Linked DNA regions of Drosophila melanogaster. The gene in region 1 interacts genetically with each later gene. Each region holds a gene or a part of one and is shown on either strand. Other genes may lie near its edges. The genes, in order: mRpL12 and Hph.

The links.
Region 2: of mRpL12 (region 1) and Hph, changing one suppresses a phenotype caused by changing the other (phenotypic suppression), as found in Drosophila melanogaster (one study listed by BioGRID).

Annotation. Positions count from the first base shown.
Region 1 is NT_037436.4:8,954,937-8,958,241, forward strand, and holds mRpL12 (mitochondrial ribosomal protein L12), read left to right. Parts: upstream 1-1,854; 5' UTR 1,855-1,943; intron 1,944-1,999; 5' UTR 2,000-2,010; coding exon 2,011-2,559; 3' UTR 2,560-2,648; downstream 2,649-3,305. Other genes in the region: GNBP3 (Gram-negative bacteria binding protein 3), read left to right, coding at 90-1,562.
Region 2 is NT_033777.3:5,255,022-5,260,328, reverse strand, and holds the start of Hph (HIF prolyl hydroxylase), read right to left. Parts: upstream 3,293-5,307; 5' UTR 2,765-3,292; coding exon 2,208-2,764; intron 1,994-2,207; exon of another isoform or gene 1,859-1,993; coding exon of another isoform or gene 1,184-1,858; exon of another isoform or gene 1,170-1,183; intron 1-1,169. Other genes in the region: Tim17a2, read left to right, coding at 1,184-1,858; Enoph (Enolase-phosphatase), read left to right, coding at 3,726-4,081, 4,391-4,647, 4,710-4,867; CG1113 (uncharacterized protein), read right to left, coding at 4,926-5,307.

The DNA.
Region 1 (3,305 bases):
CAAGCCTCGACCGGTTCTTGATAAGATTCTCAGATTTTCAAGTCCGAGTTGTCTGACCGCTCATCGCAGTTTTAATTGGTATTCCCACAATGGCGGATGCATTGCGCTTTGTGGCCTGGAGCTGCTGCCTCCAACTGCTGTTCCTGCTCCTTGGCGTTCAGGGGTATGAAGTACCCAAGGCTAAGATCGATGTTTTCTATCCCAAGGGATTCGAGGTCTCAATTCCCGATGAGGAGGGCATCACCCTGTTCGCCTTCCATGGCAAACTAAATGAGGAGATGGAGGGCCTGGAGGCTGGCACCTGGGCACGGGACATTGTCAAAGCGAAAAACGGACGCTGGACCTTCCGGGACCGGATTACGGCTCTAAAGCCTGGCGACACCCTGTACTACTGGACATACGTTATCTACAACGGACTGGGTTATCGCGAAGACGACGGGTCGTTTGTGGTCAATGGGTACAGTGGTAATAATGCCTCACCACATCCACCTGTGGTTCCAGTCTCCACAACGCCCTGGACTCCACCTGCCGATCCGGATATCGACATAAGGTTGGGTTGTACTACTCCCAAAACCGAGGTCAATGGAGCACCCACTCGCTGTGCCGGGCAGCTGGTGTTCGTGGATGAGTTCAATGCTGCAAAGCTGGATCCCAATAAGTGGAAAGCGGAACGCAGGTTTTCCGGTCAACCCGACTACGAGTTTAATGTGTACGTGGATGACGCTCCGGAAACCTTGTGCTTAGCCAATGGTCATGTGGTGCTCTCGACGAACACAATGAAAAAACAATTCAAGAAGGGTTCGGGTGAAAGTTTGGATCTGGGTGAAAAGTGTACGGGACAAGCGAATACCCACGACTGTGTAAGAAATGGGCGAACCCTAAATGACGGACTTCCGCCAATGGTCACCGCTCAGTTCTCCTCCAAGGATTTCTCCTTCAAGTATGGTCGCGTGGAGGTGCGAGCCAAAATGCCGCGGGCACAGTGGGTGACTCCACAAATCTGGCTGCAGCCCAGGCGTCCGATCTACGGAGTGGATGATTATCGGTCGGGACAGCTGAGAATCGCTTATACCCGTCCGAATGGAGGTAATCTGGATTTGTATGGCGCCGCCGTGCTCTTTGCAGATGAGCCGCTGCGATCGGTCAAGAATTGCCTGAAGCCAGGTACTGGAAATAACTCCGAGGACTGGAGCGATAGTTTCCACAATTACACCCTCGAATGGACACCCAGGGAACTTCGCTGGCTGGTGGACGGCAAGGAGTGGTGTGTCCAGGGAAGTGCTAAAGGGTCTTTCAGCGAGACGACTGCCGCCGGAAAGAGTTTACCGCAGGCCCAGAAACTGGAGGAGGGCACTGGACTGGCACCCTTCGATCAGGAGTTCTACTTGACCTTCGGACTCAGCGTGGGCGGTTTTAACGAGTACCAGCACGAGATCAAACCCTGGAACGAGAGGGCGCCGCAGGCGCAGAAAGCCTTTTGGAAGGAAGTCAAGAAGATCAGGGACCACTGGCTGGACGAGGGCCACATGAAGATCGACTACGTAAAGGTGTACTCTTTGTAAACTCTGTAATCGAATTACAAGCATAGGAAATAAAACAAATATAATTAACATTTATACAATACATTTTATACATTTACATCTAAAATTATGCTAGAAAATGGAAGAACTTTCTTAAATGAAAATCAAGTTCAAAGGTTCTTACCTGTTTATTTTTTAAATAAATTTCCATGCAAAACAAGCAAAAACAAGCAAAAAACAATTGTAAATTAAATTATTTATTTAGCGGTATTTAAACGTTACTTTTCCAACCATATGGTTTTATTTAAGCATGGCACTGCCGTTCAACCAAATATGTTGAATGCAGCCCTGGCTGTTTATCGATAAACTGCTCACATAACCTGCTGCTGCGGCCCAAAGAATTTATTTTGTCACCCGAAAACCGTAAGTAAATGGATATTAAATGATAGTTGAACGCTTTTCTAACTTAAGACTTGCAGATACCAATAAGATGCACATCACACGCCTCGCCCTTCGCCAGATTTCGCGCCAAGTGCAGCTGCATCGCATGTACAGTGCAGCGGCTCCGGCCGCCGCAGTCTCGGGTGCGGAAAAACTGGTGCCTCCCGCGCCGGAAGGAGCCGCCAAGCCACCCAATCCCAAACTGGACTCGATTGTCAACAACATTGCCGCGCTCAATCTCCTCGAGGTGGCCGAGCTGAGCACCCTGCTCAAACAGAAACTGAACCTGCCCGAGACCGCATTTGCCCCACAATTCGCCGCTGGGCCGGCACGTGCTGCTCCCGCCGAGGATGAGGAGGAGGCAGCGCCCAAGAAGGTACAGACCTCCTTCAAGGTCAAGCTGGTCAAGTTCGACGAAAAGCAGAAGGTGGCGCTGATCAAGGAGGTGAAGAACCTACTCGAGGGCATGAACCTGGTGCAGGCCAAAAAGTTCGTCGAGAGCGCACCGACCATCGTTAAGGAGGACATCCCCAAGGAGGAGGCCGAGAAACTCAAGGAGGCACTGTCCAAGGCGGGCGCCATCATCGAGATCGAGTAGGATCGGCCACGGTGCCTTCGTTTATCCACTTTGCGTTTAGCTGCTAGTTACTGTTTTAATAAAAAGCCAGGCAACATTTGCTGTAAACTTTACGTTTTGTTTAACCCAATATTTTGTTTTTGCAAAACAGAAGGATAGGTTTTTAGACAAAAGTAGGTAAAATACTTTTCGCCTAGAAATCGCAAAAGTATTTACATAATACAAACTTTCTTGCAATGCTGTGGTTAGTTTACTAGATCAAAACATAATTATATTTGTTCATTTACATAATTATATTAAGGTTAATATCTAGAGGAAAAACTTTTAAAAAAGTCTTTGTTTTTTGAAAAGCCCTAATCGCACTCCAAATAACTTATATGGATTGCTCGTAGTTGGCAACGCAGCAAATTACGTGCAACTTTCTAAGCGTCGGCCTGGAAAACAATCCAGCCCAATCCACTTTTACCTTCCTTTTGGGATTAAACCTTAATTAGTGTCATAGTCGGCGATTAGTGGTGTCCTGCTAATTGGTGTCGTGCGTGTCGTGCTGCGTTCTAGTAAATGCACCAAATCAGATCAGTAATCAGCTCTTGCTGACTCAAAAACACGCGCCAAATCCAGCTAGATGGTACCGTTACATCATCATGGTCTGTAAACGGACGGATCACAATGGCGCCGAGTTTTCGATTTTATTTATAGCCACTAAAACTGGCTCGAGCGGAAAGAAGATGCCAATGTGGAGCTACGTTTACATACCGCAGAGATGA
Region 2 (5,307 bases), on another chromosome or scaffold:
CAATATTGAAAAGCGTCATTTATTCGCAGTGAGCATGATGGATCATGCGGAAGAGTACTGGGATGACGTCATATTTGGTGACGAAACAAAAATGATGCTCTTTTATAACGACGGGCCAAGCAGAGTATGGCGCAAACCGTTGAGTGCGCTAGAAAAACAAAATATCATTCCAACGATAAAATTTGGAAAAATGTCACTGTTGGTTTGGGGCTGTATCACCAGCCGTAGAGTGGGAAAACTAGCCTTAATTGAGGGCACAATAATTGCCGTGCAATATCTAGGAATTTTAAAAAACAAATTTGAAGGCCAGTGCAGAAAAATTTGATCTAGTTAGCAACAACAAGCCAAATTTTATATTTTAAGAGGACATGATCAGAAACATAAAGAGTGCAATGTACGCACCTGGCGCCCTTATAACTGTGGTAAAGTGATCGATACGCCCCCTCAGAGTCCTGATCTGAACCCCATTGAAAATTTGTGGACCTACTTAAAGAAGAAGGTGGCAAAAAGGAACCTAAAACACAACAACAGCTTATGACTGTAATAGTCGAAGAGTGTGAAAAGATCCCGTTTGAATATGACCTGCAAAAACTTGTCCAATCCATGAAAAAAGGGCTTCAACTTGTAGCTAAAGCCAATGGGGAACATACTACATACCAAAACTTTTAAAATTTTAATAAAATAATTTAAAAATTTAGGATTAAACATCGATTTAGTGTTTTGTGTAAAGAGTTTCTTGACAGTCTCAAAAGTGTTTAAACTTGGAATTTGTTGTTTTTTTTCTTGTATATTTAATATTTTTAATTTGTTTTTTGATTTATAAGTAAAATAAATATTGTTTAATTATATTTTATAAAAAAAATGCGTTTAATTAAGCAAAAAACCTTTAATTTTTAGCTTTAAAGTCAAAAATTCAACTTATTTCACAGTGTGTAAACAGTTTCTTGACAAACTGTATATTTCGTTTGTAGGACCATTGGTAAATATTTGTATCTAGTTAGAACGGACGTAAAAGTCGTAAGGCAACATTCTCAAAGTTATGTATAATCTATAAACACACGTTTTTAATCAAAGGCCATATTGGTCAAAAGCTGATAGCACATATTCGCAAAACAAGGAAAGTTCACTACAAATCAAGTTTTGAATTAATTACGGATTCTTTTGGTCAGTACATCACCCGAACATGGAGTACAATCGCCAGCCGTGTCCCATCAGGATTGTAGAGGATTGCGGGTGCGCCTTTATGATGGGCACCATGGGAGGATCGTTGTTTCAGTACCTCAAGGGATTCCGAAACGCTCCGTCCGGTCTTCGACGTGGCTTGCACGGCGGTATAGAATCGGTGAGGTTGCGGACACCGGCCATAGCCGGCAGCTTTGCCATTTGGGGCGCCACCTTCAGCACGGTGGACTGCGTCATGGTCTCGTACCGCCAGAGGGAGGATTCCTGGAACGCGATTGTCAGCGGAGCGGCCACTGGCGGAATTTTAGCCGCCCGGAATGGAATTCGAGCCATGGCCAACAGTGCCTTTGTGGGCTGCCTCGTTTTAGCCATGCTCGAAGGAGCTGGAGCAGCAGTGGCTACGATTTATGCATCGGATGGAGGAGTCAAAGCAGAGGAGTCCCTAATCACTGTTGACCAGCAAATGCAGAGACCCCAGTGGGAGACATCCGTTGCTGATTCGAACCTAACTGGGGCGGAGTTAGAGCGGGTGTTGGATGAATGTCGGGCATACAGGGCACACAACAAGATGCAGCAGCCTATGCGTTCGGACGCAGTGGAGGGTAAGGAACTGGGGCAACTGATGAAGCCAATGCACTCGTTGGTCGATCTGGTAAAGCTGGCCGAAATTGTCTGATAGAAAAGCTTTTAAGGTTTTAAGTCAACCTCCCATGCTTCTTCCAAATTAAGTGTTAATTCGATATTCAGCGTTAATCTTATATTATTTTTAAAAGCCCAGTAGGTACAAGGAATGATTTTCTATCTCATGGAGAATATTTTTCCATCTTCAATAAAAGATCAGCTGATATTTGATTGCATCTAATAAAATACTATGGCACTATGCAGGCTCAAAAGAGCTTCTAAGAAAAATATATCTCTTCTAGCGTGCCACCATGAGCAGTATTATAGTATTATACATTTTTAACTTATGTTTTAGCATAAAACTGTTGAAACTGAAACATCTGACCTGTCCACTGACGACCTACCTTCCTGATCCCATGAAGCTGGCATCCGCCAGACCGATTTGATAGCTGGAGCTCTTTTCGCCATTATGGTGATGATGCTGGTGCTGCTGCTGCCTTTGACCTGTTTCCGTTTCCGCAGCTGCAGCCTTCTCCTGGCTGCCCGGCTGCCCGAGGAGATTCAGCAGGTTGTCTACCTCGGCGGGCCAACTCTGCGCCTGGTGGGCAGGCGTCATCATCTGGGCGGTGGAGCAGTTGGCGCCGGCGCCGCTGCATTCCAGATTGGCAGATGCCACAGCTTGTTGCAGTTGCTGGATCTGCTGCCGCTGCTGCTGCTTATTGTTGTTGCTGCTGTTGAGCTTTTGGCGGGTCAGGAGGCGGCACTCGGTGCGGTGGTCGGGCCAATGGAGATGCTGGTGGGCGGGGGAGCAGTAGTAGACGGCCTTGCACTTGGCGCAGCGCAGTAGTTGCTGCTGAGTGCCGCAGATGGAGCAGCGCGGCGGGTCCATGGCCGATTTGGATGCGGAGTGGGAGCCGGAATGGCTTGCTGAATCCCTGACCTTTCCGCGACCCCTGCTCATTGCATTTTGCGGGAGAGGAGAGCCAAAGGCGACGACCGATTTTAACCTTGACAGCTCTCCCAGCTTTTTTTACCCCACCTCACCTACGCCAACTGAGGCAATCACACACACACACGCTCGCAGATTATGGCTATTTGTTATCAATGCGAATTACGGCACTCGGGCGTTTTAGCCAACATTTCACTTAAGACTGTTTGTGCTTATTTTAATCACGTAGGCCACCGAATTTGCCAAATAAACAAAAAAAAACGCACATACAACGCACACACACAGACGCACGGGCAGCTATATGTGCATTGTTGTTGGTTTTTCCTGCGAGTATTCTCTTTTGTAAGACGTTTTAGGGTTGCAACTTTTAACCCTATTGACTGTTTTATACCCTGCCTTGAGCTCTATTACGCCCCTTGTTTATAAAAACCGCGTAAACTGTGCAAAAAAAGGGAAAAATTCTTAACTCAGCACTAAAATTTCTTTTTGATAGCGATGGGCGTCGACCGATACTTAGCGTGCAGCGATTGACATGTACTCGTTGTACAGCACTATTACCGGCGGGCAGTAGGTATCGATAGCTGAACGAGCCAACGTTAGTGGTGATTATTTTATACTGGCACTTATATACTAACGGTAATCAAAGCTTTTTATTTCGCTATTTTTATTTACTAGCTTTAATATTTAATTGCACAAGATTCGGAAACAAAAAGCTATTGGGAAAATTAACTCAAAGCGGCCATTAACCCCATAAGAATTACTTTAATACAACTTCAGTCGATCGTTTATCAATTAAGCAAGGTCTCTAAGAATGGCAAATACCCTTATCGTCTATTCCAATACATTTATATATATATATTTTAAAGTCGATAGTCGATAGCGCGATGTGCCATCTCCATTATCAAAACTAAACAGATGCTGGGCGGAAAATCAACTGGTTCCTCGTGATAACTTAATCCCACTAATAAGCGCAATGTCGTCCAGTGAACGAGTGGCCAAAGTGGTGCTGGTGGACATCGAGGGCACCACCACTTCGATTAGCTTTGTGCACGATGTCCTGTTTCCCTACGCCAAGCAGAATGTGGAAAAGTTCCTGAGGGATTCGTGGGAAGAAGATGATATAAAGCGTATTGTCCAGGATCTACAGCAAGTGCCCCAGTATGCGGACTACAAGGCCCTGTTAAGTGGTCCACCTACGGAAGTGGATGTAGATCTGATTGCAGGCTTTGTGCGCTATTTAATTGATCAGGATCTGAAGGTCACGCCAATGAAAACGCTGCAGGGCTTGATTTGGGCGCAGGGCTACGCTAATGGAGAGCTGAAGGGCCAGTAAGTTCCCCATTCAATATTCTCCTATCATGGCCATATAAGTTTTACAATCTGAACTCTAGAAGGTTATCAAAGAAAAGGCTTACTTAACGTCTGTTCCCAAAAATAATTTGGGTGTCTTTCTGAGATCCAATTATACAGCTTGGTGATTTTTTAAATATGTATGCTAGCTATATTCTCCGCACGGGAATGTTTAACTTTTGCTGATTTCAATAGTTATCAGATAACATTCAACATAGTAACCAAAAGTACAACGCAACAACTCATTATTATTGATAATTAATTAATTATCTATAAATGTTATTATAGTGTATACGAAGACGTCCCTGCAGCTTTTGAGGCTTGGCGTGCTGCTGGCCTCCAGATTGCAGTCTACTCCAGCGGCAGTGTGGCTGCCCAAAAGCTGATATTCGGTCATAGTTTGGCCGGGAACCTGCAGCCGTACTTGAGTGCTTATTTCGACACCCATGTGGGCCACAAACAGGAACAGCAGTCCTATAAAAACATTGCCAAGCAATTGAAGGAGGACCCGAAGCAGATACTCTTTCTCACGGATATTCCAGGAGGTGAGTGGCTGATCCACACGAATCCTCATCCGTAACATTTTTAATGTGAAATTATATTTTAGAAGCGGCCGCCGCTCGCTGTGCGGGCTTGCAAGCCATAATTCTGAAGCGTCCTGGAAACGCCGCCCTAGCAGACGATCAAAAAACTGGATTCGAGTTGATTCCGGACTTTAAACCACTTCACAACCTGAAAGTTCCGGTCAATAAATCCCAGGCTTAGGTCATTCCAAAAAAGTATACATATATTGTGACTATGTGCTTGGGAATTAGGTGAATCTCTAGAGGAAAGCTCGATCTGCGCTGCACAGGTCGTCACCGCTGTCGTGGCTGGGCGTCTCGGTCGTGAGCCCCTGCGGCCGTCGTTCGGACCGCTTGCTTCGTTGAGACTGCCTCGAACAGGACTTTTCTGAGCCATAGACCTTACGCAGTTGCTGCAGCTTAGTATCCGCATCGGGAACAGGAAACTCTGACTTTTTCTTCCTACGTTGCCGGCTCCCCTCGCACGAATGACGCAGTTCCTCGGTCCGGCAGGTGTGGGTGAGCTTGCCCACTTCTGGACCCCAGAACGTGGGTCCTTCCAGAAGAAGGGGAGCGGATTTGACCCGTTGACGCATCATCTCCATATGCAGTTCGTACTGACGCTCCTGAAAAGCCTGCTCT